Lepisosteus oculatus: one gene and its partners. The protein of the gene in region 1 interacts with the protein of each later gene in a pairwise test. Links are inferred from orthologs where the notes say so. Each region holds a gene or a part of one and is shown on either strand. Other genes may lie near its edges. The genes, in order: meox2a, immunoglobulin-like and fibronectin type III domain-containing protein 1, shfl and emerin-like.

Region 1 (7,262 bases):
CAAAAATGCTCTTAGATAATTCAGACATTAAACCATACAAAAAATATTGCTGTAGTAAACAAAACAATTTTACCTCAATTTCTGAAAGTTTAACTAAAAAAAAAACAAGTTTAAATTTGACATATAATACTATAGTTTAAAATTATTAATGGCTTATTTTTATGCTGATGGTTCTAAATACATTTGGGATATAAACTCGTGAAAGAATATTGTATTTGCTTTAAAAAGAGTCTCATTCTTAAGAGTCCATTCAATGTTAAAACAGCAACAATTTTAAACCCTTACATATATTAGAAAAGAATACCATATTGTCTATATAACATACTGTACTGTATATTATAATGACATTTAGGAATGGGGGATAAGACATTTGTTATTTTCTGATTTTTTTATTGCCGTTTTTTGATCGTTAATAAAAATAAGTAATATAATATTTAAAAAGGTAATAGCATATAAAGAGATATTATTAATAGCATTATTAATATTAATATTATTAATAGCATATAAGAGATTCCTCCTCTTTTGTTTGGTAATTTTATTATTGCTTTCAGTATGTGCGTACCTTTTTTAAAGGACGTTTACTTTAGAATTGTGATTTTTATTTGAATCACTAGTGAAGTATTTAAATAATTTATTTTTGCCAAAGGACTTATTTTATCTGTCTCCTCAGAGTGATATCCTGAAAAAATACTTAAAAGAGACCGGTGCTTTGATGGCATAAGGAGAATGGAAACTTTCTGAATTTAGTTTATTTTACACTGCTTTTCATCTAATGTTTACAAATGGTAATTAAAATGCCCTGAGAACTTCACAAGCAAGTATTAAAAGCACATTAGACACTAAAAGAAGGGCAAACAGAAACAACTGTAAAAGCCCATCTACAATAGGGCTCATTTTGTCATTAAAGAAAAATAAGATAGTTCTAAGCTATTAAAATAAGAGTAACCACTGTATTTCCTCATTCAATTATGCAAGTATGCAGTCACAAATCTCAAATAGGTATTATTTAAAAAAAAACAAGATATTTTCTGTGGAAGTCCTTTGTAAAAAACTGTCCTCTTTTACCTATGCACATAATCTGGGACCATGAAAACAAATAAGAAAACAATACCTGTCATGTACCTACAGTATCATTGTGCTAGGAATTAATATGTATCCTAGGTAAAAAGGTTAAAATTGTTTGCTGAATTATCTGAATCATAAAATATATAAAGCCAGTTGTATTCCTTCATTTGTCATTGTGCTGTTGCTGACTCCTGTCGTACATCAGAAATGCACATAACTCATTAAAGCTTTCTCACCCATCAAGTCACAAGTTATTTCAGAAAACAATTTCATTTCAAAGTGTATTTTATAGGAGACGGAAGCTTTTCATGAACTCGTATAACTGAATTGTTAAAAAAGCCACCCATTATGTTATATACAGAAAGCCGCATAGAGCCCTTTCTGCTTGAATCTCAGAAGTGTCTCTGTAAAGCAGCACTTCAAATGAATTGAAATAGCACCACTTCAAGAGGAAGCACAAAAATACATTTGGAATTGGTGTGGTTTATTTCGGTTCTTGTTTTTTTGCAATAGAAATGTTCAACAGAAAGTGTTTTTGAACTGCCTATTTGTATTGTGTTCTACACAGTAATATAATCATTCATAAAATGTATAAACTATAATTATGCATAAAATGTCTTATACTTTTACAAGTTTAAAAGTAAAGTTTGAAGTGTGAACTGGTTCTTAATACTTATTATTTTCTGCTTGAATTTAAACGCCTGCTGAATATACAGTAGTCCAAATATGCTGGATTGGCATTCATTGACAATCTGAAATTTGTAGAAGAAAATTTACAGTAAATAAAAAATACACTTAGTTACAATTGAGCAAACAGTACCTTTATATAAGATGGGCTTTTTTGGGGGGCAGTTGAGCTTTTAAAAAATGAAATGCACAGCTGGTGCATCAGCTAATGCAATTAAAACGATCAGCTTTAAATACAGGATGTTTTGTTTACAAAGAACGTATCATACAGACTGTAACTCATGTTCTTCAAATTGTTATCACTCTCGCCACATCCTCCCTTATCAAACTGCACACCCAGCAGGCACAGCTGACGGACAGAAGCAGGTTTTCAGGGATGGTGCAATCTGAACAACCTCTAACACTCGGAGCCTGTCAGTGTGTGATGCGGGAGTTATCTAACCTACTATACTGTAACTGAAGAAACATACTCAAAAACATCACAATGAAAATCCTGCAAGAACGGGTTGCTAAAAAAATGTTAATACTCACAAACCCATAACCAGTGCTTTCTTCTTCACATATAACACTTACAAGAGAAATCACTAAAGCTTCAGGGGTAACCACGAGCCAGCAAGAGAAAGTTTAATGCAAGAACATTTCTGATATGCCAAAGAACCCTGGTGAGCTGGATGCTGAAAGAATAAAACCACATGTGCATTAATATGGGACGAATGACTAAATAAACATATAACTTTACGTCGGGACTAATTGCCCTAATTTGTAACGTAAACACACAGTTTTTAACTCACCAGCGTGTCTTGAATGTGGTGTTTCTGCACAGTTTCAGACAACTGGTGGAGCAATAATGAGAAAGTCAATTCTTCAAGGTCTGCAAAAGTAATTTCCCCCCCAAAAGTATTTAATTTCCTTTCTCAAGGAAGCTTCATAAATGTGGTACAACCAAACGATTTGCCTATAGAACTTTAATGGGAGTGCAGTGGCCACGTACTGTATATACAGTACTCATCCATTTGAGGAACATATGCAGATGTGTAGGAGAAGAAAGAAGCCCAATTTAACATAATGTATTACACCACCACCCCATTTTCTAAAAGACTTTTTAAAATGAATATCAACCATTTTAACAGTAGCTTGTGTGGTGTCCAATTTTAAATTTATTGTAAAGGAAATAGCCAGTGTTTTACAGCTTTAAATTTAAAATTTTAATTTAAAAATACAGATAACCTTTCAATAGATGATAACAACGTAATTAAAAAAATATATATATATCTATTTAACTTGATTTCAAGATATGGTACACATATCTCTTAACAGCAACTTAACTTTTGTCACTTTTTAAGACATGTTAAATTATCACTGCACACATCTTTGGAGGATGTAATCTCCCTGACTCGTTGACAGCTTGACCCGAGAAGCAGTCGGGATTCACATCTGGATTCACGTCACAGAGCTCTTGTAACTGTGAGCAAGGTACTTCACGGGAACTGTTTCTGTAAAATAACCAGCTGTATCCAGTGGGTGCAAATAGCCATAAGAAAAAAAAAAAGCATCAAGCAAACTAAATAACTACTGTAGGGTGCTTTTGGGGGAATAACCCCAATCTTCTTGAACTGGTGCAGGTACTGTATCATAAATGTCCATTATTTTCTCTCAAATGCAGATTGAAATGTCACTACTTTCATATTAAGACAGTAATCTACTCTGTAAACTGAATAAACAATTCAATATACTGTAAGATGTTGTAATGTGTTCTAAATATATTCACTTTATAATATTCATTTTTCATGTAGAAAATCCAATTTGTGTTGTATTTCATTTAGAATTTATAATAATGTTTTAAAAAAGATGCGAGAAGAAGAAATACTAACTCACATCATCATCACACTGAATAATAACAAAATTAACACACTATACTAACGAGTAAGAATCAGATCTAATGCCTGTAATAACAGGTTTAAGTGCAGTAGGAAAGATGTCACAAACTGCATTGGAAATACTTAGAACACTGCAAAAGTCTAATAGCAGTTGTTGTAAAAAAAAACACTTTTTACTTAAAACCACAAAAGTATTAGCACATTAATGAACTCTTGCGCTGCATTTTCATCTCACACTCTGACGCAATGGTTAAAAGAAAAAAAAAGTGCTACCGGGGTCAAGTAGCCTGTGTCCAAAATAAATTGCATGCTTTTCTAAGGCATAACCATTTTAATATTGCAGATTTATTGTAAGTTGCTTTTTGGAGGCAGATCATATGCATGTGGTCAGTACTGAGTCTCTGACCCAGCCTCCAGCTCACATTACACACTATTTATAACATCCCCTCCACTTTCTCCCCCCTTAAAGCCCTTCCTTGGAACCACCTTCCACTGGCTTCAGCCTCCCTTTCTGTCATCTGAGAATCTCTTCAGCGGCTTATCTTGGGCTCTGTGTTTATCCAAAGCAGCCTGGCAACTGTCGTGAATGATCTGGATTATCTGAGGAGCTCCCTTTTTTGCAGAAAAAAAAGTTTGCCTCTGTCTTTTTCAGGGGGAGAAAAAAAAGTTAGTTGAGTATATGAGGTGAAAACTAAAAAGGGGTGGCGTTATTGGGATCTTTGTGTTGCTTTTTTTTCCCGGTTTCTCGTTCTTTTCCTCTCTGGAACCTCACGTTTGCATGACATGGATCACACGCTGTTCGGCTGCCTGCGCAGCCCTCATGCCCCCGCGCAGGGCTTGCACCCTGCCTTCTCGCAGTCCTCCCTGGCCCTCCACGGAAGAACGGACCACGTTTCTTACCCTGACCTGTCCACCTCCTCGCCCTCCTGCATCATAGCTGGATATTCCAACGATGAGGGCCTGTTCGCCAGCCAGCATCACAGAGGGCACCACCACCACCAGCAGCACCACCACCACCACCACCAGCAGCAGCAGCAGCAGCATCATCACCCCTCCAGCTGGCACATTCCACAGATGCCCTCTCCTCCCGCTGCCACCCGGCACAGCCTCTGCCTGCAGCCCCCGGACTCCGCCGCCACAGATCTGGGGCCCAGCCCCCCGAACCTGTGCGCGAGCACACCCAGCCTGGGCAGCACCACCCCCACGGGGGCATCCTGCGCACCTGGGGACTTCGGCAGGCAGGCGCTGTCTCCCGCAGAGGCAGAGAAAAGGAGCAGTAAAAGGAAAAGCCATGGCTCAGGTAAGACTGGGGGGGCCGCCGTCCTCGCCTCTCCTCACCCCCCGACCTGCTCGTTCCCTATGTGGGAACGCACGCGCGCGCTTCGGGGCTCGCCCTGCGGGAGCCAGAGAGTTAAAGAGTATCTGCTGCGGGGAAAGCTCACTGCTGGCATTCAGAATCTCAGGCAAAGTTTCGAGCCTGTCTATTTCAGCTGCATACTGAAGGCTGAGCTCCGCCACTCGTATTGCAAATGCGCAGTCGTTTTGTGGAAAATATTCTCATTTATGGATTCCCAGGGCTATTGAAAACATTATACAAAAATGTTGTTTCCCTGTGGGGGAATAATACAATATGTCCATCTCTCAATGACGAGATTGTTAACTGAGTTTTGACAGAACATGGAGCCTTGCGGGGCTCAATTTGAAAGAATAAAAAGTGTAGTGTAGTGAGAGGTGTAAGGACCTGTAATGGCTGCTCACACACTGTCCTAAGAAGATCTGTAAGGAGTAGTATAAAATATGTACAGTTTGTAATATGTTAGTTTAATTTAAAGAATAGATTTCAGCAGGCAGGTATGATACAAGATTTGGAATACTATCATGCCTGCATGTCTTAGAAATGTTGGCAGGCACCTTGATTCTGTTCTTTTGAACTGAACTTTTAGCTGTTGGTAAGAGTACGTAAAAGATCCTTTCATTGGCTTGTTTCAAGGAGCAGGTACTGTACTTTTTTTCAGCATTTAGTTAGTTTGCAAGTGAACCACTTTGTTGACACTTTCACGTAAAATATTTGATTTCAGATTCATTTTGAGGCACGTTAACACGGAAAATGATGAGGAGTTGTAAAACCTTCTCCGAAAATGTAAAATTTAACACCTGAACATCTTGGGCCTCCTTTAAATTTTTTTCCGACATCTGTGTGTAATGGCTCATACCGCGTCAGGCTGAAAAGACTGAAACTTGAAAGAGACTAAGCATCTGAGGCAATCGGATAATTATTTATGTTTACAGAGATAACTATAGAATTATTCACAAATATTCGAAAGAATTTTGGTATTTAGTATTTTAAATAAGATAAAATTCACATTACCAAAACATTTAGGATTTTTCACATGATAATGCTGATTATTAAAGTCCACAGTTATATTTTATAAATACTGTAGATTTCTAATCAGGTTAACTACGCAAGGGTGTGTTCCCAAGTTTTTACAGGTAATTCAATTATTTTTAATTTGAAATACGATCATGAAATGATGGGCAAAGTGCTTGATACATGTTTTCCTTGCATTTTGCAGTTGAACGTTTAATTTAAATCAAATAGATTAAAATCTGATACACATAATAAAAAAAGGCTGATAAAATCTCACTGATAGAAAGGATAATATGTACTCAATTATATGCTTTATATCATAGAAATATTCCTGGATTGAATTGGAAAAAATCTATGGCACTGCAGCCCAAACATAAGGGTTATAAAAGTTTTCAGTGCATCTCGGAAAACTATTTTAACAGAAACAGAAGCTCCAATAATGTTTACTATTTCCATCAGACCTGTAAAATTTACACTTTTGTCTGTCATTAGTTAACCTGAACAAAATGCCCCCCAAAAGCATCCATTCCATACAGTATGTACTTCTCTACTGAAGAAAAATTGTAAAATTGTAAACTTACAATTATTCAGTTATGTACATTTAACTTGTCTGGGATACTGAAATAAAGAGGAGATTTTTACACTCTCCAGTTTTACTACTAGAGCAGAATAACAAATAGTGTTACCTTGTTAAATAGGATTTATTGTGAACTGTATAATACACAAACATTTTAAAGCAATGTTGTCCTAAATATTTTAACATAGCGCATTTAATGAAAGAATCACAAATTATATTCTGAATTGTACTGCTCATTTTTGTCTCAATAGATTAAGAAAACAGTTGGGATTAAAAAAAAAATCTTTGTAAAAACCCCAGGCATCAAATTCAGCACGTTCCATGTCCGCTACAGTGACAAGATAGTCTGACTTCAAAGTCAGCACTTCCTTTCAATGTTATAAATAATGTCACTTAGTGATAGTTAAAATGTAGGAAAACTGTTCAAATTTGTCATCTCCGGCATTAGCATCTGATAATGAACTTTACTAGGTGTAAAATAGGAAACAAAAGATTAATACCTGTACATAGGACTGTAATTGTGAAATTTTCAAACACGGAAGAGCTTATCTCAAATATTTCATACTTCTATGAAAATAAATGTATACATTTAAATGGAAGATCAAACTTTAATCAATGCTATTGCAACCCTCTAGCCATAATAGAGTCACGACATACTGTAATAACTCTTGGTTTAAACTAGGATTTC
Region 2 (7,222 bases), on another chromosome or scaffold:
CAACTGCAACCCTCACGAGGAAAAGAGTGAGAATGCATGGATGGAGATTTTAGATGTTGGAACACAACAAACAAACCAAAGCAAATAACCGGTAAAAGCAAATAATCTAAATGAGAACTAGGAGGATGTTTCTTGTGACATGGATTTACAGTATATTTGTGTTTTTTGTAATTTTTTTTGAGAATTTTCTAATAAATATTTTAGGATTATTGTTTCAGATATTTTTGTGAGGTAAAAGGGACAATCCAAGGCAAATCCAAGAACTTTGCTGGGGATTTCCTTAAGGCCAACATACACCCTTAATGTGTTTTATCAATCTGGTAAGAAACATCAACATGGTTTCTTTTAAGGAAATTCTGTACTGGACTTTCATGGATTATCAAAGTCTTTAATGGACCCTATTTGTGTTGTTTTAACTGATTTAGTGCTGGATTGACCAAACAGGCCCTGTTAAAAGGGTCTTAAATTTTCCACTGTAAAATTGCAGGGATTTTTACAGTATAAATTTTCGGAGCAATGAGGAAGTACCTGTCACTGTCAATCACCTAACCAATTGGAGGAAGTAAATTGGTTAGGTGATACTTAAAACCAGGAGGCAGACTTCCAAGGGGCTTCCTTTCAGGTGACACTTCCTTTGTTAGCTGGGAAGTTAGAGTAGCTTCTGTTATCAGCCGCACTTAAGGGAGAAATAATTGAGAAACAACTAATAAGCCAGTGGATGTGAGGTGTTTTAGGAATATTTTATTATATATCATTATAAGAAGGATATTATAGTTTATTTTTTATGGAAGAGTTTTGAAGAGAGTCTTATGTATATATGTAGGTAATCATCTGCCTAGATTCTTATAGAATCTATTAATGTATCTCAAGTGCAGTTAGACTCCTAATAATACATTTTCTGTGTTATTTTGTTATTTCCTCACACTCCAGAACAAAAGAGCATTGTTTTTTTTTCTTCAACTGTGTTTTTTGTATACTTTCCCTAAGACCTTTCTGTTCAAAGATTTTGATATGCCACCATCTCTAAGTCATCCACAAAATATATAATATTTAAAGTAAAAGTGAAAACTGAGACTCTCCTTTTTTCTGTTATCTCTGCATAGATTATATCTAGGGATATACACAATATTAGTCTTGTCAGTGAGGGCCACAACCTTCCTCCTTTAAATGCTAATTTGCTAGCTGGTGCTGTGACACATAAAACCTATAAAATCAACAGTACAGTATATGCCTGTAGAAGAAATGAATAAATATATTATTTAAAAAAATGATTTATGATTTATCAAAGTGGGGGTCTGAAAGAAAAAAAAGTGCAATATTATCTGTAGTTCTAGTATCTCTATTAATAAGTTTGTGTTTTCCAATTTTGAGTAGTCAGTGAATGTCAACTCCTTTTCCTTACAAAAGCATTCAAATTCTTCCTATGGTGTACTATTTTGTGAAAACACAAACTGATGTATCACATGTTTTTTATTTTAATATTTTATTCAAATTCCAAATGCTCAATCCGAAAACTTCTAAGGATACGATACAGTAGGTTACAAAAAATGTCAGCAGAAATTAAAGATAAAGAAATAAATATGCTTTTTACATGAGTATTCAAACCCTTGAACTCAGTATTTGCTGGAAGCACCTTTGGCTCAATTACTGCCATTAGTCTTTTTGGTTAAGTCTCTACCAACTCTTCACATAGAACCGATGCAATGTTTGCCCAATTTTCTGTTCAGATGTGCTCAAGCTGGGTTGCTTGGGGATCACTTAGGGACAGTAATTCTTTTCATTCCTCAAATTCTCAATAGAATTCAGGTCAGTACCTGGACTGAGCCTTTCTAGGACATTTACTTTCTCATGCATAAGCCACTACACTAGCCAGTAGTGTAACGTTTGCCATGTGCTTTAGGCCATTCTGTTGCTGAAAGGTGCATTTTTTCTCAGTTTTAGGTTAGAAGTAAATTTAATAGTGCTTTACTCTATGTTCCCATCAGTCTTGACAAACATCCTAGTCTCAGCTGATGAGAAGCAAAATTACAACATTATTCTAATTCTGCCATCACAACACTTGACCATAGGAGTGGTGTTGACTGAGTGATGCTCTGTGTTAGATTTTGTAATTCTTTACATTGTGACCAAAATTATATATATAAAGTATTTTTTGTATTGTTTAACCACAAAACCCTTTGCAATGTTTGCATGGCATGCTTTGGAGTTTTGTTGCAAAACCCATGTGGAATTTTGGGTTTATGTGAAATTTCCATGCAACCCCCTTTTGTAGAATGACTTGGATATTGATATACCATCTTAGTGACTGAACTCTCTGTCAAAGTCACCATTGGTGTCGTTGTGGCATCCTTAATCAGTTTCCTCCTTGCCTGGCTGCTCAGTTTGATGGGACAGCCTGATCATTGAACCATGCTCAACAAAATATTAAGGATCTTTCTATCCCCTGACCAACTTTATCCCTGTGCTGTTTTGAAAACTCCTTGTTTGTCATGGTTTAATCTTTGTTTGAAATTCACTGCGTATTAATTCTGGAATCATGTCACTCCTGAATAATACGAAGGTCACTGTATAAGTGGGCCAGCAGCCTTATCACCCTGCAACTAACAACTGATAACCCACCGAAGCGAAGCAGGTGTGAGCCTCTTCAGAACCTGAATGAGAGACCTCCTGTGAAAAAAAGTGGGAAAAGGTTTTCCTGGGAAAAGTTTGATGCTGGAAGATGTTGGTGGGACCAGTAGGGAGCGTGCACCCCGCAGCCTGTGTGGGTCCTAATGCCCCAGTATAGTAACGGGGACACTATACTGTAAATAGGAGCTGTGCTTCACATGAGACATAAAATCAAGGTCACGACTCTCTGTGGTCAAATCTCAGGGAGTTTCTCGAAAAAACTAGGGGTGTTACCCAGGTGCCCTGGCCAAATTTCCCATTAGCTTTTACCAATTATGGCCTTCTAAAAATCCCCATCTATGAACTGGCTTCATCACTCCATTCTCCTCCCCATCGATAGATGATGTGCAGTGAGTGAACTGGCGCACTATGGCTGCAGTTGCATCATTCAGGTGGGGCTCCACATTGGTGGTGGAGGGGAATCCCCATTACATGTTATTTGCTTTAAGTGGAGTGTCTAGAAAATCACTATATAAGGTATTATTATTATTATTATTATTATTATTATTATTATTATTATTATTATTATTATTATTATTATTATTATTATTTTCATTTCTGACTGCAACAAAGACCTTAAAATTAATTTTTGATAGCTTGGATAGGTGTGTTTAACTGCAAGTTGAAAAAGGGTCTTGCAGAACACAGCAGTTTCTACGGTTACTGTCTGTAGTTTGAGAAGTGAATTGATTACGGTTATTCTGCTGCGCCTAAACATCTTCTGCTGAGCAGGAAGAGAGGATAAATCCAGGTAAAAGTAATGTACTTTGATCTCTGTCCTCCACTCTGTCCTCTACTGTTCACTTGAATAACTTAATACATTTTAAATGCTTTTTTGTCCTGGAGACTGGAACTGCTTTTTTTTTTTAAAGAAAAGTACATTGGAGATTTTGCAGTCACAAAGGAAAGTACTGTATATATTTTAGTATTAATTTCTATTTTCATTTTGTTACATGTCATTCCATTTCAAAGACAGAATGTGTTCCCCTTGCTACAGTATGTTCATCTTCTAGCTCGTCTCAGACTGCACTACTCCCATATGTACAATATTTGGATCTCTGACTCAACTCTGCCACTCCAAACAGCTGATAAAACAGAACCCTAGACAGAAACCTGCCTGCTGCTGGCATTTACAAGAACCTGCCGAAATTTAATACTTTTAATTGGTTTTGAATCGCCATTGACCATTCATTTAGCTGGTGCTAAACCAGCTCATCAGACAGTTAATCAATAGAAAAAAAGTATTTGAGGTTAAGAAAAATGTAACCCTGGGGTTCACCTTTAAAAACAGCCATGAGTGTGATAGACCATCAAAGGGCACTCTGAGTTCTTGGAAGTTAAAAAACCCAGGAATCATTCTCTTGTAATTACCCTCCCTCCCCTCACCCCCCTCAGCCCCCTCACCTCTCCTAAATACGAACAGACAGACCTCTCTTCGCCACTCATTGGGTCAAAGCACGAGGGAGTTTGCTGGAGAACCACACATATTCTTACTGGATTTATTAACTAGTAGAACAGTGAGGCAGCACACCAATATCAGACACTGTCAGAAGTCTAGGTCGTAGTGGAGCTGAGCTGAAGTGAGCTGACAGCACTGAAGACAGGGGGCAGGTAAGGCTATATACATATTATCTGCTCCCATATAGTGTACTGTATATGTCTGTAACATACTGTATACGTAATGCAATATACAATGCAATATACAATATACATAGCAAATTTAATATATAAATATTTATCTGACATACAACATATCAATATATGTTATTACATTGTTTATAATGCATATACAGTAAGTACGTTATTGTACTTGTTTCTTGCTTACTAGTTTTCAAGGAACAGTATGTTTGTGTGTGAATTTCTAGTCTTTTTATTTCAGTTTGTTTGCAAAAACTGCTAGTCTAATAGTTTTTTCACTAGTGCTTCAAGTATTCATGAAAGAATTGTTTTGTCCAATTTTTATATACAGTAAGTATACAGAACCTAAGCATATAAAACACTATAAATGTTATCATAATGCACTATTACTGCCTATATTATTGGCTGGATGTTTTTTTTTGTTAGTGCCATCATTAAATTAAAAACAAAATCCTTTTAAGCTTTGAATGTTAATTTTGACTTCATATCAAAGACAACTAAATGACAAATTCAGCTGTAAACTGTTAACTACTATGTTAACAACATACTACAGCACATTTAAAAAAAATGCTTCTAGGTTTGTGAAAGTGCAACATCACTGGACCAGCAAAGTGTAAAATGCAAAGTGACCTGGCATACAGTGTTATATCTCTTATATCTCTTTACCGATTTCAGGAAATCATTTAAATGATTACTGTATACTGAAACAGACAATTCTATCATAGAAATTATCATAGAGCATGCTTGTATGCCTGAATAGTATTACACCCATTGATGTACACAGCTGATGAGGTGACTGGAAACATCACACAGTATCATTTTGAGGAGATGTGTTTCTCAGTTTTAATGTCAGAGCTGTGGTCCTCCAGAGCTGGATGGTGACTTTAGTGAGGTGGCATGATGTCATTGCTATTGAGTTGTAAAACGACTGCTAACTATAGAAGGAAGAGCCTGCTGAGTACAGCCTGAGTGTCACGAGAGTGAGAAGATTCCTTGGAGAAGACAGACAAAATTAGAAAGCACAGATCAGAGCAATCTTCATTTTGTGAAACAAGTAAAATGTTCATATTAAGCTAATCTCATGGGTACTTTCAAATGTTTATTTTAGTGATGCACAATATATTAGAATTAATTTTTCTGCTTTTGGAATCGTTATACACAAAATATTTTAAAATCTATCATATGGGGAAGGGGCTTTGGTAAAATTCACTCAGATTTTTCTAAAAATAAGGAATGTGTTATTTTTTCCAGGCTGATAATATATAATTATTTTAGTTTTTACCAGTTTTACCAGTTTACCAGTTTTTACAAAGACATAATGTTTTGTAGCTTGTGTCACATAGATTTAATTGTTGATAAAAAGCCTATGTAAAAAGCTCTAGAAATTTATCACATTAACATTTTAGTTGCAAGAATAACAACACACCATACAGTATTCACCCCAAGACCACAAAATGCATTTGAATTGTTGCTTTCCACTCAAATCTTGAGACCAAGGCTAAGGTTTTGCTAAGTCTTTGAAAGCTGCAGTCCTCTGGTTTCTTTGTCACTTGAACTCTTGACACCGAAACCTGTAAAAGCTGGAACTCAGTACCTGAAGAAACATTGGTATTGTGGACCATGAATGGTCATTTAGGAAAAATGTTTTACATAAAAGAGGGTACTCTCTTTATTCACCACTGAAGTGTAGTACCCATTTAGATAACATACTGTACTGTACAATACATCAGCTTCTGTGCCCCACTACTCAGCAGATCAAGTAGAAAAGTGAGAAATTGCTTCACTTAACTGGATTAAGAGGGAGTTGCAGGTAAGCAAGTTTATGAAATGCAAGGGGATAAATAAAACGATAGCAATTTCAGATTTCCACCCAATCAAACTGCATTCCTTTCATCAGAACGAATCACCCTATTAAAGTGCTCAATGTCTGTGAGTTGTTTTACATGCAGCTTATAAAACACAATGTAATTACTGGTATGCACTGTCAAACAAGTTAAGAAGATTTTGCTTAACAAAATTATGGTGTTTAAATCTTTGATATAGCGAAGGCAAGCCCTAGTCTTTTGGGGGCCCTAGACAAGATCTTGGAAAGGGGCCACTCCAGAACACGATTTGCACATACAGTACACTACTATTATTAGCTCCTGACACAACCTTATTTTACTTTAATACAAGAAAACTTGTATTAATTAACTAGCTTTGAAGAACACATGATAAATAACTAACAAACAAGATATAGAAATTGTATATTATCCTTTAGGAGGACAATGTCAATTACCAGTTGCAACTACTGTACAAGATTTCAATTTTAAATCTTTAAACAACATGTACTGTACATAATTTGCAATGCAAGTAAAAAGTCACTTGTAATGTTTCATTACTTGTTAGATATAATGACGATTAATAAAATTGATCGTCACAACATTTACTACTTTCCTAAATTAAATGTTCAGCATTATAACATTCGATGTAGCAGCATTAAGTGTATTAGCAGCTGAAACCATATTGTCACCTTACAGTTAAGATGAGACTCATTTGCTACATTGACAGTAACATAAACACCTGAAGAAGGCTCCACGGCCAAATCTTGTGTTTTCTTCTCTTTTCAGCATGGAATAAACCTATTACTTGTTCCTTTGCAGCCTACGTATGCTGATGCAGCTACCCACCATCAACTACTACAACATAAACTACTACACTTATATTCACAACTAATGATTATACATTATACAACTAACAGTATTTAACAGCCTAGATTAGAACAGCAGTAACAGCAAAGAACCACTGGAGGGAATTTTTTGCTCATATACAGTATGAAGGTACAGATTAATGATGTATTTCCCATTAAGGGAGCCCCCTGACAGGCCTGGGGTCCTAGGCAGTTGCCTAGTTTACCTACGAGTAGGGTATAGCAGAT
Region 3 (8,119 bases), on another chromosome or scaffold:
CACAGAGCAGGAGGTCGTCTACAGTGAAACAGTAACCCCCCCCACACACACACACACACACACGTTTCAGCTCTGCTGAACACCAGCATTCCCCTTCTTCCTTCTCTATTTTTTCCGTGTCCTCTCTTGCCCCTTTCCTCCCTCTCTCTACCCCTGTCCTGCCCCTCCATGCTTCTACTCTCCCCCCTCCCTTCCTCCAGGCAGCCCCAGTGCACTCTGGGAAGGAGCTTTACCCTGACCACCGCGTCTCTCTTCAAGCACATCATGTCCTCTTCGTCCAGCCCTGCGCAGAAGGGAGAGACCATGATGAGCTGCCCGTCCACCCGGCTGACCGCACACAGAGGCCCTGGCCAGACCTAGGGGGCCAGCAGACCCGGCGGGCCGGGAGCACCACGCCCACGCCAGCTCCCAGGCCACAGCCCCCTGGATCCAGCTGCACCGCCAGCGGCTCCAGCGACTGCCTGTGCGGACCCGCCACAATCCCTGTGACCTCATCTCTCCTGTCTGCCACCAGGGGGGACCAGTACTCTTGTTTTGAGGGAAAGGAAGGCCAGGAACTAAAAAGCCTGACTTTACAGTGTGCAATTCCACTGCAAAACCAAATCCCTGTGCCTTCCGTCTCAGGGCGGGCGATTCGCTGGCTTTCTCAACCACCCTTGCTGGCGACAGGTCACCAGCACGGCACATTCTCGGATTTTCACGCCGTCTTCCTGTGCGTCTCAGATCTTTTTGCTGCATGTGGGCCTCTCCCAGGGCGGACTCATCATGTGCACCACTGCAGGGGCCGGAGTCACCAAGCTTCGCTACAGCGGGTCACGATTGGGGGCGACCGTGTAGGGCAGGTGGAGTGGGATTCTGGTCCTGGAGGTCTTGCTGGTCACTTGGGGGGAGACGTTCACCTCATCCAGCTAAGCCAAGAAGGACCGGTGACCCTCCAAGACCAGAGCTGTGCGCCCCCTGGTGTAGGGAATGCGAGCTGCTTGTGTTGAAAAACCCAATGTGTCACAGGTAAACCCCCCCCCCCCCCCCGCCACCTCCTTCAGCCACACTGTCACCTAACCTCTGTCCTTCATCAGGATGATATCCATGGCGACCAGCTGGTGGTTGTTACCATAGCGACGCATCAGCACCGTGGCAACCTCGATAGAGACCTTGCCGTAGAACTGCTCTCGCAGGCGCCGGACACTCTTCTCCAGCTTGAGGTGGACAAGGAGGAACACACAGAGTCACTCCGGGGAGTCAGAGAGAGGAGCAGACAGGAGGAGACAGGAGAGAGGTGAGAGGAGGAGCGAGGAGGCAGGAGAGAGAGGCAGAGTGAGATAAGTGAGGAGCGAGGGAAAGAGAGGAGGAAGCTGGGACTGTTACTTCATGAACTCTCCTCTTCCTGCAGTGGAGTCGCTCGCTCTACAGACACTGCGGCGGTGGCGCTCTGTCCCGGGACCCGACTGTGACTCCTGCAGAGACAGACTCCGCTCCTTCCATCCACACACTGACAAGCTTAACAAGTACCTAACGGAGGCGGTGCTCAGCCTGTGGGGACCCGAGTCACGGCAGCCCTGGTCCAGTCCAGGTTTTACCAGCTCCTGCCTGCTGGATGTCCACAGCTGCCTTACTTGGAGGGGAACGGCGCACAAAGACGAGGAGTTACCAATATCAACATCCCCACATCCAATCATACCCTCAGAGCTGGTGAATCCTGAAATGGGTCAAACTGCTGTGCGCCAGGAGTCTGTGTCCGCGCGGACACCACACAGGGACGGTGCCTGTTTCTCAGACGTCCGGGACACTGACCCCCAGGCTAACACCTCCCATTTTGGCAGGGCAGGGCTTCATAAGGACACCTTTGCCAGCACACTTTGAAAACGCAAACGCAAAGGAAAAACCCGGACAACCGTGTCTCAGCTACCGGCCACCTCTCGCCTCTCTCCCCCAGTGCACTCCACACCGCTTGCAACAGCAAAAGAAAAAAAAGCAAAAAATAAAAGGTGGAGGGTCATTTCCTTACCCCCACCCCCCAGGGAGACCTACAGTAGCCATGACTACACTACAGCCGTCCAGGGGTGCCGGTGTTGCCAGGCGACAGACCCGGGCCCTGCCGGGGTGTCCGGCCTGCCTATTCCCTGTGCAGCTCAGCCCGAGGGATACAGTCCTCGTAACAGACAGGCGCCCGGGGTATCTGACGTGCGCCCACAAGCGCGGTGACCCGAACTGGGGTCAGTGCGTGTGCGCCTCTGGAGATGGACTGAGAGGGGCGGTTTAACGATGTGACACTTCGGTATGAAGTTCGGACAAGTGTTTTTTTTCTTTGCGTGTCACCGCTTTTCAGCCTCCTCTAAAACCTAGACGGACCGAGAGACAGGTTTGGAAATAACAGACAGTCGCACAGATCGGTAGACTGACGGTCTTACACCAGATAGAGACAGGTGGGGAGAAGTTTTTTTTTACGTTTAATAAAAAACGGGGGACGGGAACTATACGAGTTCAAAGTGAAGTTACACCGTGGCCTCCCAGCCTTTTTCCGTAAAAACGTGCCTAACAGACACCAATCGTATCCGGTTAGAAAGCCGACGCTGCCGGAGTCAGCCAGGCGCCGATTCCCCCCGAGCAAGCAGGAGGGGTGGCGCTGTGGCAAAACCCGAAGTTTAGTCGCAGAATAAGCCGTTGAACTGCGCTGTGGGTTTAAGTAACCGCGGGAAGCGCCGTCGAGAAGCACTGGTCCGCAAACCACGAAATAATAATAAAAAAACCACAATGCAGCAGAAGAAATCATGAACAGCAAAGCGGAAAAATAATTGTTCCAACTGCCCTACCTCCACCACCTCATCCTGAAGCCTGCGAGCCATGGCTCGGGTTGAAGCCGACTGTGTGTGGCGGACGCGCACGGCCGCACTGCAGCAGCTGCGGACTGGTGTTGCTACGATTAACAGCTGGGCCTGCGTTTGCACTCGCTCGCGTTCCTGCTCCTGCAGAAGCGGCCGCTGCCCTGCAGCCCCGAGCGTCTCCTTCACACCTACTTTCGGTTTCACACTGCTCGCTGGCGCAAGCGCGGCTACCGCCACTAGGCGGCGCCATTTCGCCAGGACCGTGCATGAACTGTCAGCTCGAACCACATACCTCCCTCGTACGAGCGAAGTAAAGACTAAAGCAAAGACTGCTCGGGTCTAACTTTTTTTTTCTTCTGTTTACAGAGGCCATGCGACTCTGGTGCTTTCATCTCAGCAAACAGCGCAATGCTGACTCTGCACACCGCCGTCTTTCTGTTTAAAGAAAGTTTTTAAAAGCCCAGTCGTGGCTGTAGGTAAAACGTGGAGTTGTATCCTACGTAAACATCTCAGGTTCATGTCTTGACCCTGGCATTTGTACTGTGACATTTATTTATAACTGATTTTTTTATAAAATATCGGATCCCTGAGTTCTAATTTAATTACAAAAGTACGTTCAATATTTGAACTTTTACTTGTAGTCATTCTAAACTATGGACCGCAGAATTTTTATTTTAACAAAACGAGCTCCCGATTAATGAAATAATGAAAGCAAACCTGCACAAAGCCGTAAAAAAAGAGAGAAGTCGCAACCGATTAAACTACAATCCCCAGAAAGCACCGCGCCGAGCGACCCACGGCGTTTCCTCCGCCCTCGCTCGGAGCCCCCCTCTCCACCCTCCACCCTCCGGCCAGCCTTGATGTGTTCATACAGTAGCCAGGACCAGTCTGGTGATGCGCTGTCGATGTGGGTACAGACGTGTAAACTTCTGTAGCGCAAAACGGGGAAAGTTTTTGCATAAACGATCAGCGATGGACGGTTTCTGGTGAGCTTGCAGAACGCAGGTTGGAAGTAAAGACTTTGCTGTTCTGGCAAAATTCTTCTTTTACGCGAACTGGCTGTGGCGAGCTCAGTTACAACGGCGCTTACAGTGCAGCAGCATCTCTCTTTTTTGAGTGGGGGTGGGTGAAATTGTGTTTAAGCCCCTGCAGTTTTAGATCTCTGTAAACGGAGGTGTAATTTGTTAAAACCTAGGTAATTTACCTGAATTATGGGTACTGTGCGTGTGTATTACAGTAAATGCGTACCACCGTTTAGTTTAGCAGTCCCAGAGTTTATTCCCTGTTGAAACAATCTGTAATACCGCAATACAAAAATACAGCGTTACCTAGATTAACTCTTGTTATTTTACGCCAGGACTCCAGGTTGTAACGAGGCATCTTGTACAGCTAACAGAATGATCTGTATTTTAAATGATCTGCCAGTGTGATAGACGCTGTAAGGGCAGTACTGTTATTCACTGTTATTTTCGTTGACGCCTATTAGCGGCTTCTAATTTGCTTCAGCAATCAATATGGACGCCAGCTTTACTGCTACTTAACGTCTTTATTGGGATGAGGGAAAAAGGACTGCTTCCAGAGGGATGTGAGAGTTTTTGAAATACGATGTTGAAATAAAGATTTAATAACGCGTTTCACGATCCTGCGTCAAGGAGGAAACTCAATAATATCGAATACTTTGTGATTATGCTGCAACAAGTCCAGAATGTCTTCAGTGTTTTCCCAATCGCAGATAAAGACACGCTGGTGTGCCTGAGTCGTGTGCAAGTTGGTGAAAAGAAGATGCTCATTGTATTTTGCCCTCTTTCCCACCCAAACTGTACCTTAAGCCACACACAGACACACACACACACCTGACCAAGCAGCGTCTGCAGTTCCCTGCAGCTGAACTGTTAAGTGACGACTTTGCGGGTGTCTTCCAGGTAGGGGCAGTCGAACCCCGGCTGAGGAGATCGGCGCTCCGGGTGGTGAGCGATTTCAGGTAATTTCGTTTCCCCCGCCGCGCCAAGCGTGCCTCCTCCCCGGAGCGGCAGCGATCCCTCTGAAGCGCGGGGGGCGCCAGCTCGGCCTTCCCTGCTCCCTCACACTCTCCTGGGTGCCCTGCTGACGCAGCTGACCCCCTGACTCACGTCACTGGGCCAGAGGTCTCCAGGTCGGCCGAGAAGCAGGATCCCAGCCCCTGACATCCAGGGATTGCCCCTGCTTTCCGATGGCTCAAGGTGCCACAAGCCGGCAGCCTGGAGGAGGGGGGGGCCAACCTGTATATTTTCAAATGCGATAGAAATCGGAATCAGTGCTCTGTGACAAGATGTCGCTCCAGGACTGATTGACTGATTGGGCATTAAGTCACTGGGCTGGGGCTGCACAGTGTCCCTCCCCACTCTGTGTGTGCCTCTGCAGCAACACGAGAGCACAGACACTGCTTCGCAGAGGGTACCTGTACTGCACACACGTCGGTGAAACCGTGTTATGAAGCTGAAACGCAGGTCTTGGGTAGTTCTGCAATAGCGACTCTACAGAAACCCATGACAGTGAATTCCTGACACGCGTGCTGCGTGTGCAAAGCCATTTCTGCATCTTCTTACTGCAGCAGCTCCTGCACACAGCTCCCCTGAGCTGCCACTGGTAGGAGGCTGAGAATTCATGGGGCCGATGGGCACCTCCAGGAAGGGGAGAAGGGGGGGTGACTAATGAATGTGAGGCCACTGCAGACAAAGCGCTTCCTTTTCACGGAAGGAATTAAGAGTTGTGTTGCCGGGCCTCAGGGCGGGAGACGAGCCGGTAAGGCCAGCCTTCCCTGAAAGGGTTAAAGACCTTCTGGGTAACCATAGGGATCTCCGTCGCGCCATGCTGCGACGGGACAAAGAGGATTAAAGGCTTAGTGCCAGATCAGGCTGCTCCACTGGTCCGTGTGTGTGTGTGCGCATGTGACAGGGAGGAAACTCAATAGAGCCCTGTGTTTCCCTGGACAGTTCGATTCCCCGTGACCCGGTCACAGGGGGCACGCTGTCCGTCCCGGGCTCTCCAGGAAGAGACTCCTGCTTTTCTGGAGGATGAGGAGGGGCGCTGATAGCCGGTAGCTTCCTTTCCCGGACCAGACCCTGCAGAGGAAGCAGGAACAGGGGTTGCAGTCCCAGTGAGTATGTGACGGTGACAGGCACTGCACACACTGCACGCGTTTTGGACTTTAGCTTGTTAGTTTTCATCAGTGTGATCTGCATACCAAAGGTTTTTTGTACCAGCCTTTATTTTTAGCATTATCCTTGATTGCATTATAAATGTCTCCCTACAGCTGGAGGTACAGTACTCCTGCATAGGCAGTATTTATTAGCTATTGTTGTTGAGTTGCTGGAGATAAATGTGCAGTGATCAAGTGAGTCTAGAAGTAAGAACTGTACCGAGATCATGTGTGCTGTGCTAAAAAAGTCATACCTTTCTTACGGGGCCTGGCCTACTTAACATTGATAAGCACGTGGTTTCCATTTATATCATGACAAAAAAAAAGGGCATGTGTTTTTACCTGTTGTAGCATAGGCATCCAGCAGGGCGGCGCCATGGCATGCAAGACCGTGCTGGTAACAGGCTGCTCCTCGGGGATTGGGCTAGCTGTGGCCGTACGTCTGGCCAAGGATGAGCTGAAGAGGTTCAAAGGTCAGAGGCACCTCAAGTATCATGATCATTATTGTCTGACGGTATAGAAGCTGTATTCCTACACATGGAATAACACACAGTAAAAAAAAAGCTATGGGGGTAAAAGTTGTGTAAGGGAGGCCTTTGCTGATGCATAGTCCCCCGTCTGGCAGTGGTGGCCACCATGAGGGATCTGGACCGCAGAGGCCCGCTGGAGCAGGCGGCAGGGAGCGCCCTGAACCGGACCCTGGAGATCAAGGAGCTGGACGCCTGCAGCGAGGACTCCATCAGGAGCTGTGTGGACAGCATCCCCTCCCGCCAGGTGGACATCCTGGGTGAGACAGACTTACAGGCGCACAGCCTTACGTGGGCCTTGTGCCAGGCAGAAGTTGTTGAGCTCAAAAGCAAGAAATATGCCATCTGCTTTGTCTTAATGTAATTCTTCAGGATCCACAGCTGCAGCAGTGTGCTGGCCTGGAGCAGGGCTCTGGGAACCCCGTCCCCTGCAGCTGTAAACGCTAGCCCCTAACTGGTTTAAACTCTTGTCAGGAATGACGGTTTTCCTACAGTACGTTTCATTCCAGAAGCACAGAGGTGCGTCTCTCACATAAAAAAGCCGAGAAAAAAGTCAGAAGTGACTGGCACACTGTGATGAGTTTGTAGAACCACTTCTTGCCCCGCGGGCCTGCAGAGTGGTGTTGAAACAGGATATACGATCATTTCCTCCTACTGTGCGTGTGCGTGCCGCCCTGGCATCTTGGCGTCTCTCCTCAGTGAACAACGCGGGCGTGGGCATGATCGGCCCGCTGGAGTGCCAGAGCATCGGCGCCATGCAGCGGCTGTTCGACACCAACTTCTTCGGGCTGGCGCGCCTGGTGAGGGAGGTGCTGCCGGACATGAAGAGGCGTCAGGACGGGCACATCGTGGTGATGAGCAGCGTCATGGGCATCCAGGGTGGGCAGCTGGGGGTGGAAAGGGGGGGGCGGGTCCATGCTTCTTTCATATAATTGGTAGGAAATTGACATTTACCTTCTCATGGGTGAAAATATTAGGAATTCGCCCCCTAGTGGACTCGTGGGGAAACACTCAGTGGCCTGCGCCCATTATTTCCACAACAGGGAAGTTGGTCCTCGGGCTAACCTTGATGAGCTTGTAGAGCTTGATGCTGGAGAACCCAGGCAGGCATGACCTGTAGCTTGACTATGGCTGTAACCAGTGTAGCCGGTCTGCTGCCTTGGTGCTTTTCCCACCAGGCTATGCATTGTATGACTGGCATGTGGGCCCATTTGCATACTGTGATGAAATGGATGTGCTTGCCTTGAAACCTGGGGAAACACTAGGGCCATACACAGACGATAAAAGGCCTTTGAGAATGAGAGTATTCAGAGCACAAAAGGGGAAGATCCATTTTCATGTGACTGGTATTCCTTCAGAAGAGGCCTTTTCGGAAGATTCAACATCAGCTGTCTGGGAACTGCCCTGTGACTTCCTGCAGCCCTCCAGGGGCACAGCTAATTTTCTCTCCTCGTCTCTCTTTCTTATCCTCTCATCCGAACCCATCTTCCCCCGGGGGCCCCAGGTCTTCTCTTCAACGACGTTTACTCCGCCTCCAAGTTCGCGGTGGAGGGTTTCTGCGAGAGCCTGGCGGTGCAGGCCCTCAAATTCAA
Region 4 (7,173 bases), on another chromosome or scaffold:
ATTCTTGTTGCAGCAAAGCCTAAACAAAACCAGAAGTTTGTTCTTTATGCTTAGTGCTATGGATTTTTTTTTTTGATGGTTACCTGTTTTTGGATTTATGCCCAGGATGGTAGTATAGCTGCTAATTTGTCTTAATAGAATAGCTAACCCTGTTGTAGGCACTATTCTAGTTCTGAAGTGACTGTCCATCCTACATTTATAGACCTTTTCCTGAGTGTTCAGAATCGAACTGGATTCCCACTGGAGGAAAAGGCAAGTCAGATTTTGAACCTCTAGGACACTTAACTAATATTACAACTGTTAACAGAATCGTCGTCAAAGTACTCTTTACCTTAGAGACCGTCTGCAGATGTTAAAGGGAATAGTCTAAATTCTTAAAGATATTGCTAAATTAAAATTGAGAGAATAGAAGATGTCAATGAGAGTAATGTACAGTAGTATGTTAGGAGTTAGGTGGTTATATGGTGGTTGAAGACTTGACACTTTTCCAGTTTGATGCTTTTTGTGAACAAACATGGTTGTGATATGCAACAAAAGGTCACTGTCACTTTCCCCTTACACTTTTTGTACTTTTTGTCCAGAATATTCAATGTCTTTTGAAAGAAAATGTACTTTTGAGGAAATAAGCCTTTAAGAATGTTAGACTGTTACAGTATTTTGATACACAAAGTTGTCTTAAATTTTTACTGTTTACCATTAAACTTGAAAATGGCTTATTGGTTTTCGTTTCTTTTATTTTGTGGCGGAGCTTAAACAAGATGGTATTCTGAAAGATTTGAATGTGCAGATTTTTCTGGCTATCCAATGAGGAAGCTGGATTTTAATATACTCTGCCTTTTCAGATTGAATCTTGTTTATAATGCCAGTTCAATCAGATTTTTTTTATTCAAAATTGATTTGTCATTCTGTAACTTTGGTATTTGAGAAATAAGCCCAGCTGAAAAGTCTTTCCCAAATTCCTTTACTGTTTTCCATGGTTGCTTCCATCCACAGTTCTGAGCTCCTGCAAAGGATCTCAATTTTAACAGTGCTCTAATGTTCTACATTTTAAAACCCATGTCAAACTTTAAAAAGCACAGAAGCTAATTTTCAGAATGTTGCGACAATGGTGTACCAACAGTTACCACTGCCTACAAGGAATGATCTTCAATTTCTTCCATTGAAAACTTCAGATTTAAGGTTATTTATACACTTGAGTGTCTGTCGGCTTCTATGATGGTCTTAACTGTGCAAAAGGGGGGACAAAGCTTTTGCTTTCGAGTTATCCTGATTATCTTTCTCATTTCTTAACTTGCACATCAGCCGTTTTTAGCCTTCCAAATGATCAGTTGTTCTTTAATAAAATTATGCTTTAATACAAGCTTGTGTCCAAGTCTGTTTTTTTTAATTAGGGCTATAAGAGCCCAGTTTTGGCTGCATTTCAAATTTTGGTTTGTAGAGTTCTGATGGATACTTATGGGGGTGGTATGAATTCAGTGCTGCCCTCTATTGCAATATACTGTAGATCCTTAATGTAGATGGTTCTATGTTCAGATTGCTAATATGACACCATTTAGTTATTCTGCACACAGGGATAAAGATGATCCTGGAATTTTTGTTAATACCTTAAACACTTATTTTCCCTGGGAATCGGTTTGCCATTTAAAGCTTTAAATATGGGTTACATAAACAGGCTTTCTACTTTATTTGCAGGTTGTAGCTTACACATCATAGGATTGTATAATGTATTGCTCAAAGAGGGGCAGGTATTGTAACTAGCAGTAAGTCGGTTACATTAGCTTAGTCTTCACATGCACATGTACTCATTTTTAATTAAAAAAAGGGTTAAATTTTCCTCTTCATGCATCCTTAATCGGTGTTAATTAAAGGATCTTTGAAGTCTGGATCTTTCTTCTAAACGTTGTGCCTTCACTGCTGTGGATTTGATAATGCCAAGTCTTAATCACTGCATAAGGTCTTCAACCTTGGTACTGGAGAACCAATCCAAGTTGTTTACTAGGCCACCAGTTTTTATAAATTTGACATTTGAGAGCTATGGATGAATCTTGCAAGTAATCTGTACTATTAAGTGAACTTGGGTGCTTGAGTGGTGTAAAGTACTTGGATATTAATTAAGGAATTGGAAGTTTTAAAAATCACCTGTTTAATTGATCAGAATGAGTTTGTTCTGTAGCTTGAGATATGGCTAATTTAAATTTTAAAGGTGACCTATGCTATCTGATGGATTGGGGCTCTCTAGGACCAGGTATAATGGGTACCTTAATATGAATTTGAACACTGGTCTCAAACCCAATTCCTCAAGGACCTACCATCTTCTGGTCTCACACACAGGTGAAGGTAGCTGTAGCTTTAATGTAAATGGTACACCAAATTTTAGACAATTGCACACAATCTAATCTACTTCATATTTGCACATGTAAATACTTAGAATATGCACAGCACAGTTCTGTAATCTCCAGGTGAACATTGCCCTCAACCTTCTTCACATATGTGCTCAGCCAGTGCTTACCTATACATCTTTGGGAATATTTTATAAATTCTTTAGGGAATATGTTTAGGAATGTGAGTGTAGTTGAGGCACAGTGCATGACTGCTCCTTTTGACACCAGCTTTTGCTGTTGGGACTACCTGCTGCTACAATACTCACCCTGTTAAGATAATGAATGTGAGACCTTAACCAGCCATGCAGAAACTTCACATGGAAAGAAGTATGACAAGGCCATATTTAATGAATGCCAAAACTGTTTTTTTTCCCTCTGGGTGTGAACATTTCTCTTTCCTTTTAATTACTCCCCCCTTTAAGTATTGGAGATCCCATTCTTTGCATTTGTTGTATTTCTGAATGTTTGGGACACCCAACAGGAACATTCAACCACCCAGAGGTACTGAACTCAGATTGGTAGTGGTCTGTAGGCATTAGCTGTTTTTACTGTTACCCTAATGTGGGTAAAGACTAAAAATACACAACTGGTACAAATCCGATGGGTATGAAAATAACTTGAATACTAATAATTCAGGAGATCTGTCAGTGTTGATTATGTGGGTGTAGTGAGCCTGTACATAGGTGCTTGGTACAGTATCTCCCATCAATCTACTGAATTGTTAAAGCATATGAATTAAGCTCTTACAATTCAGTTTATGCAAGTAATGTGTTATGGGTTGTAAAACTTCACAATCATGTTATTTGCTTGAACAGCAAATAAGGCATACAGTAAAATGGGTTTCAGGTATTTTGTGAGACCTTCACCTTGGATCCTCAGAATTTGTACTTTTAGTCATGTAAATTAACCAATGTTTATATCATTATGAGCTTATCACTGACATCCATAAGGGCCACTAAACCACAAACCAGAAAACAAGGTGAAACTCCAATGGGGATGTACAGTACTTTTAAAAGTAAGAACAGTAGTCACACTTTTACCCAAACGGTTGTGTGCGTATGAAACATGCTGAACAGCTATGTTGCGGAAGCCGATACCTTGGTAGTGTTCGTACAGTAGGTGTATTTTTTTCGTTCAAGCTAAATCTAATGATAAACACACTGGGTATATTATTTTTTTCTTACCTATGCAGTGAGTTGGAGTTCCAGACAGAGGGCGTATTGAAGTAGCTCAGCAGTGGATTGCACCAGATTTGAAATACCAAAAAAAGCGGGAATACAGTACATCGGTTTTACAACCAACGCCCTAGTTTCTTCACCCAATTCACAGCTGGAGGAGAAAAAAAAAAGCTCTGGAAATTTTCGTTTTTCCTTATTAGGGTAACAACGAATTGCACTTCACTCTATTGTAACAGGCGAGGGCGCCAGTGAGACGCTCCTCGTTGACGCAGCAAACTGTGGGCCGCAATCACATGCAGTCGAGAGACGTTCACCATTGGAGCTACGGAGAAAGAGCAGCTTCCGATACAGAGCTTTCGTTTTTCAAAAAGGAGAGGTGACATTACTCGGGAATTCGCTGTTACAGAAAGAGTAGTTATTTGCTTATTGCTCTTTGTCCTGAAGGTAAGATGCCTTTTTTTCAAATAAGATCCTTTAGCCTTGTTTCTCTGGGGAGCAGAGAGAGGTGTGTGCTGCGAGAAACGTGTCCCTGCATTAGTTTAATAGAAATCAATTGCCGTTTGCTTCGCGGACCTCCCATTTTATTTTTTTAAATATGAACAACGCCCTGTCGCTGTAACGTAGTTAGCTGGATTTGCAACACTTATGAGCTGACGTATATTTCTGAATATATTTCTACTTGGTAAATCACAAGTTAAGTTTTGGAGTTAGCGTATTATTGAGGCACATGGCGTCTTTGCGAAGTGATGCCCTGTATTCTAGCCATGAATGTCCTCAAACGAAGTCGTTTTGATTTTATGGGCAGTCGCTTGTGTAAAAGAAGTGGTCTCATTCTAAAGTTTTTTGTCCTTGTGCATACGATGCGTGAATTGAATGCACTTTGTTTTGCTTGTTCTGTTATTATTTTACAACATTTCAACAACTATTCATACAGTGTGTGTTGTTTTGTACTGTATATGTATAGGTTTTATTTCGTAATCTGTAATCCCCATTCATTTTTTCTTAACGATCACCACGAAAGGTTGGTATATCATTTTGTCCTAAAACTAACTTTTAGTTTTGACACCTTTAAAGTTAAAGATTTAACTCGTTTGTCTCCTTTTTCGTCTGGAACACACTAAAAGAACTGTTGTTTGAATCACATGAACACATGAAATTATCTACTGCTGCTTAAATCGTACAAACATGGCTCATTTTAGTTATTGTACTATATACTAGTAATGATGATATATCCATTCACGGGGGGAATGCTCATTGTTTAATTTTAGTTTGTTACAATACATTGTTTATATAAACCTCGGACCTTAGAGAAAGATAAAACTGAAGTTCACATTACCATAGCTCAACCATTTAGTTGAAGTGAAACTGGAAAGAGATTGTTGATGAAAATATTATTCAACAATATAGCCTATAGGGATTAGATTGTGGAAATAATCTTCCGACACATATACCTTACATGGAAATTATGAGAAGAGCAGGCGATATCGTGTGGACATGAATTTATAAAGCTTCGGTTTTGGGATTGTAGTTCATTCCAGAAACAACCCGTGATTTGTAAAAGCTCCGTTTTCGGATAATCGCAGGTTACACTCTTTCACTGAAAGCAGACTCTTTGGTCTCTCGGAAGAATGTACCAAATTACAAGCAACAACCACAGCCTTACCTGGTTTATTTAAGAGTGAACTTAGTAAGATAATAATAAGATATACAATATTTAGTTAAACTGTGAATGCGTTTTAAACCGATAAGTTGCAGTATTATTTTAAACTGACTGATTCAGACATTGTTTGTCCTGTATATCATGACACATTAAAACTGATGTTGAATCCTTTTTTGCAGTGATGTTATCTTTAAATCTGTGTGTATCTTATTTTTCCAGAGGCTTGAATGTCAAGGCCCATTAAGCAAGAATAATAGTCATTATTGATTATTTTCTAACATGACCACACTGATCCGTGTTACCTATACATTTTAACAGGCTAAATACGGTGAGGTTACAAGGCGGAGATATGGATCTTTTCATTTGCTTTCTCCATAAAACAAGTCATAATTTATTTCCTTTTTTCTTTCTTTTGTTTATCCTGTAAGCAAATCATCAATCATCTTAACCAGAGCCTTGTCAGTACCATACAATAGCCTAAGTCAGGGTTCTCCAAACCAGGTCCTTGAGAGCCCCAATCCAGCAATTGTTGTACTGTAGTTTACTATTAAAGCAATTTCTAAAGATATGAAACAATTCCACTGTGGTCAGTTCAACGGTCAATTTGTGAAACTATGTAGAGTTCATTTATGCCTAGACTTTATGTAGTGTTCAGCCCTGGAGGACTGCAATGCTATTTTTATATTTCCAGGAAAGACTCAGCATTGATGAGTGCATTTCAAACCATGATGAAAGTAAAATGTACACAGCAATGTGTAAAACTTCCTATTTACATTGAAAAAAAATAGAAATTTCCAGGTATGTGCAGCGCTAAGTTCTGCGATTTAGAAAGAGACAACAAAACTTCTGGTGAGGTGAAGTGGCCATATTACATTGTAAAGATGCAGACTATTGAATGCATCTCTTTTAATCCAATAGAAATATTGCTCTCGATTTCCAGATTATTTTGGCGCAAGAATACTACTTGTTAACTGCGTGCAGATCACGTTGGAACAGTTCTGCGCTGAAATGACTGCGGCACAACCTGTAATTAATTGGTCCTACGTTGCATTATATATAGGAAGCATGAAGGTCTGCACCACGTCACAGTTTGTACAAACTCTCTCTCTTGGCCGTGGCAAGACCAGGAGTTTGCTACGAAATGGTGACTTTACAGTACTTTCACAAAGTTCACCATTTTGTGCTTAACTCGGAATTTGTAAAATTTTGCAATACCTTCTATTTGTTCATGTTACTGAGATTTTAAAACCAGTATGAGGAATTGGGACTGCAGTTCTCCTTTAAAAACAGATGACCTATAAGACTACAGGAGCTGGTGTGAGGCTCTCCAAGACTAGGGCTCTAGAGTTCTGGCCTAAAGTCATGTAAATTTAAAGAAGGCCAGCCAGATTATATGCTATATTTGTGTTGGAGGAGAGCACAAGTGGAGCAGACTGAAAATTTGAAGGCAAGAGAGGGAAGCATGAGGAGAACAGACTTGGAAATAAAAAGCAACAGAGTTGGGCGGGAGTAAAGAGCATCTGATCCCTGGGCAGTCTTGTGTGCCCACTGTGCTCTGCCATACAGGAGACCCCAGTGTGACTGACATTCAGCTCATACACTTGGAGGAACAGCAGCTGTTACTGGGTGTGCCCATAAATGCTACACAAAGATGTCTGGGGTATGATTTTGATACGTGGCTTTTTCAAAGTAAGCAATGGGTAAAAACCCAGCTAAAGAAAATCAGAGCTTAAAATATGACTGTCCAAGTTTTAAACATCTCAGCATCTGCATATTCTGCTGTTGTCAGTGTTGCAAAATGGTGACTAGCGTCCCAGTGTCCTAGAAACACAAATCTGGTCACCTACCCCTTCAGTGTATAATATCTCTTTTTTCTTTTTTCCAGGCATCTGAGAGCATTGCTTCCTGACAGACATGACCAAACTCAGCAGCAAGTCCGATCAAGAAATCATTG

What was found.
Region 2: the proteins of meox2a (region 1) and immunoglobulin-like and fibronectin type III domain-containing protein 1 interact in binary tests that used the Homo sapiens proteins (3 or more experiments, as listed by UniProt). The two-hybrid records come from large-scale screens. The link is inferred for Lepisosteus oculatus from reciprocal best matches to the Homo sapiens genes MEOX2 and IGFN1.
Region 3: the proteins of meox2a (region 1) and shfl interact in binary tests that used the Homo sapiens proteins (3 or more experiments, as listed by UniProt). The two-hybrid records come from large-scale screens. The link is inferred for Lepisosteus oculatus from reciprocal best matches to the Homo sapiens genes MEOX2 and SHFL.
Region 4: the proteins of meox2a (region 1) and emerin-like interact in binary tests that used the Homo sapiens proteins (3 or more experiments, as listed by UniProt). The two-hybrid records come from large-scale screens. The link is inferred for Lepisosteus oculatus from reciprocal best matches to the Homo sapiens genes MEOX2 and EMD.

What each region holds. Positions count from the first base shown.
Region 1 is NC_090705.1:2,550,350-2,557,611, forward strand, and holds the start of meox2a (homeobox protein MOX-2), read left to right. Parts: upstream 1-4,097; 5' UTR 4,098-4,412; coding exon 4,413-4,929; intron 4,930-7,262. UniProt on the Homo sapiens protein: Mesodermal transcription factor that plays a key role in somitogenesis and somitogenesis and limb muscle differentiation. Required during limb development for normal appendicular muscle formation and for the normal regulation of myogenic genes.
Region 2 is NC_090700.1:28,478,648-28,485,869, reverse strand, and holds the start of immunoglobulin-like and fibronectin type III domain-containing protein 1, read left to right. Parts: upstream 1-4,121; 5' UTR 4,122-4,278; intron 4,279-7,222.
Region 3 is NC_090706.1:14,469,674-14,477,792, forward strand, and holds the start of shfl (shiftless antiviral inhibitor of ribosomal frameshifting protein homolog), read right to left. Parts: upstream 3,045-8,119; 5' UTR 2,844-3,044; coding exon 2,811-2,843; intron 2,424-2,810; exon of another isoform or gene 2,319-2,423; intron 2,276-2,318; exon of another isoform or gene 1,276-2,275; intron 1,197-1,275; coding exon 1,061-1,196; intron 284-1,060; coding exon 234-283; intron 1-233. Other genes in the region: retinol dehydrogenase 8, read left to right, coding at 6,377-6,473, 6,626-6,787, 7,227-7,406, 8,032-8,119.
Region 4 is NC_090697.1:66,887,095-66,894,267, reverse strand, and holds the start of emerin-like, read left to right. Parts: upstream 1-3,847; 5' UTR 3,848-4,003; intron 4,004-7,104; 5' UTR 7,105-7,133; coding exon 7,134-7,173. UniProt on the Homo sapiens protein: Stabilizes and promotes the formation of a nuclear actin cortical network. Stimulates actin polymerization in vitro by binding and stabilizing the pointed end of growing filaments. Inhibits beta-catenin activity by preventing its accumulation in the nucleus.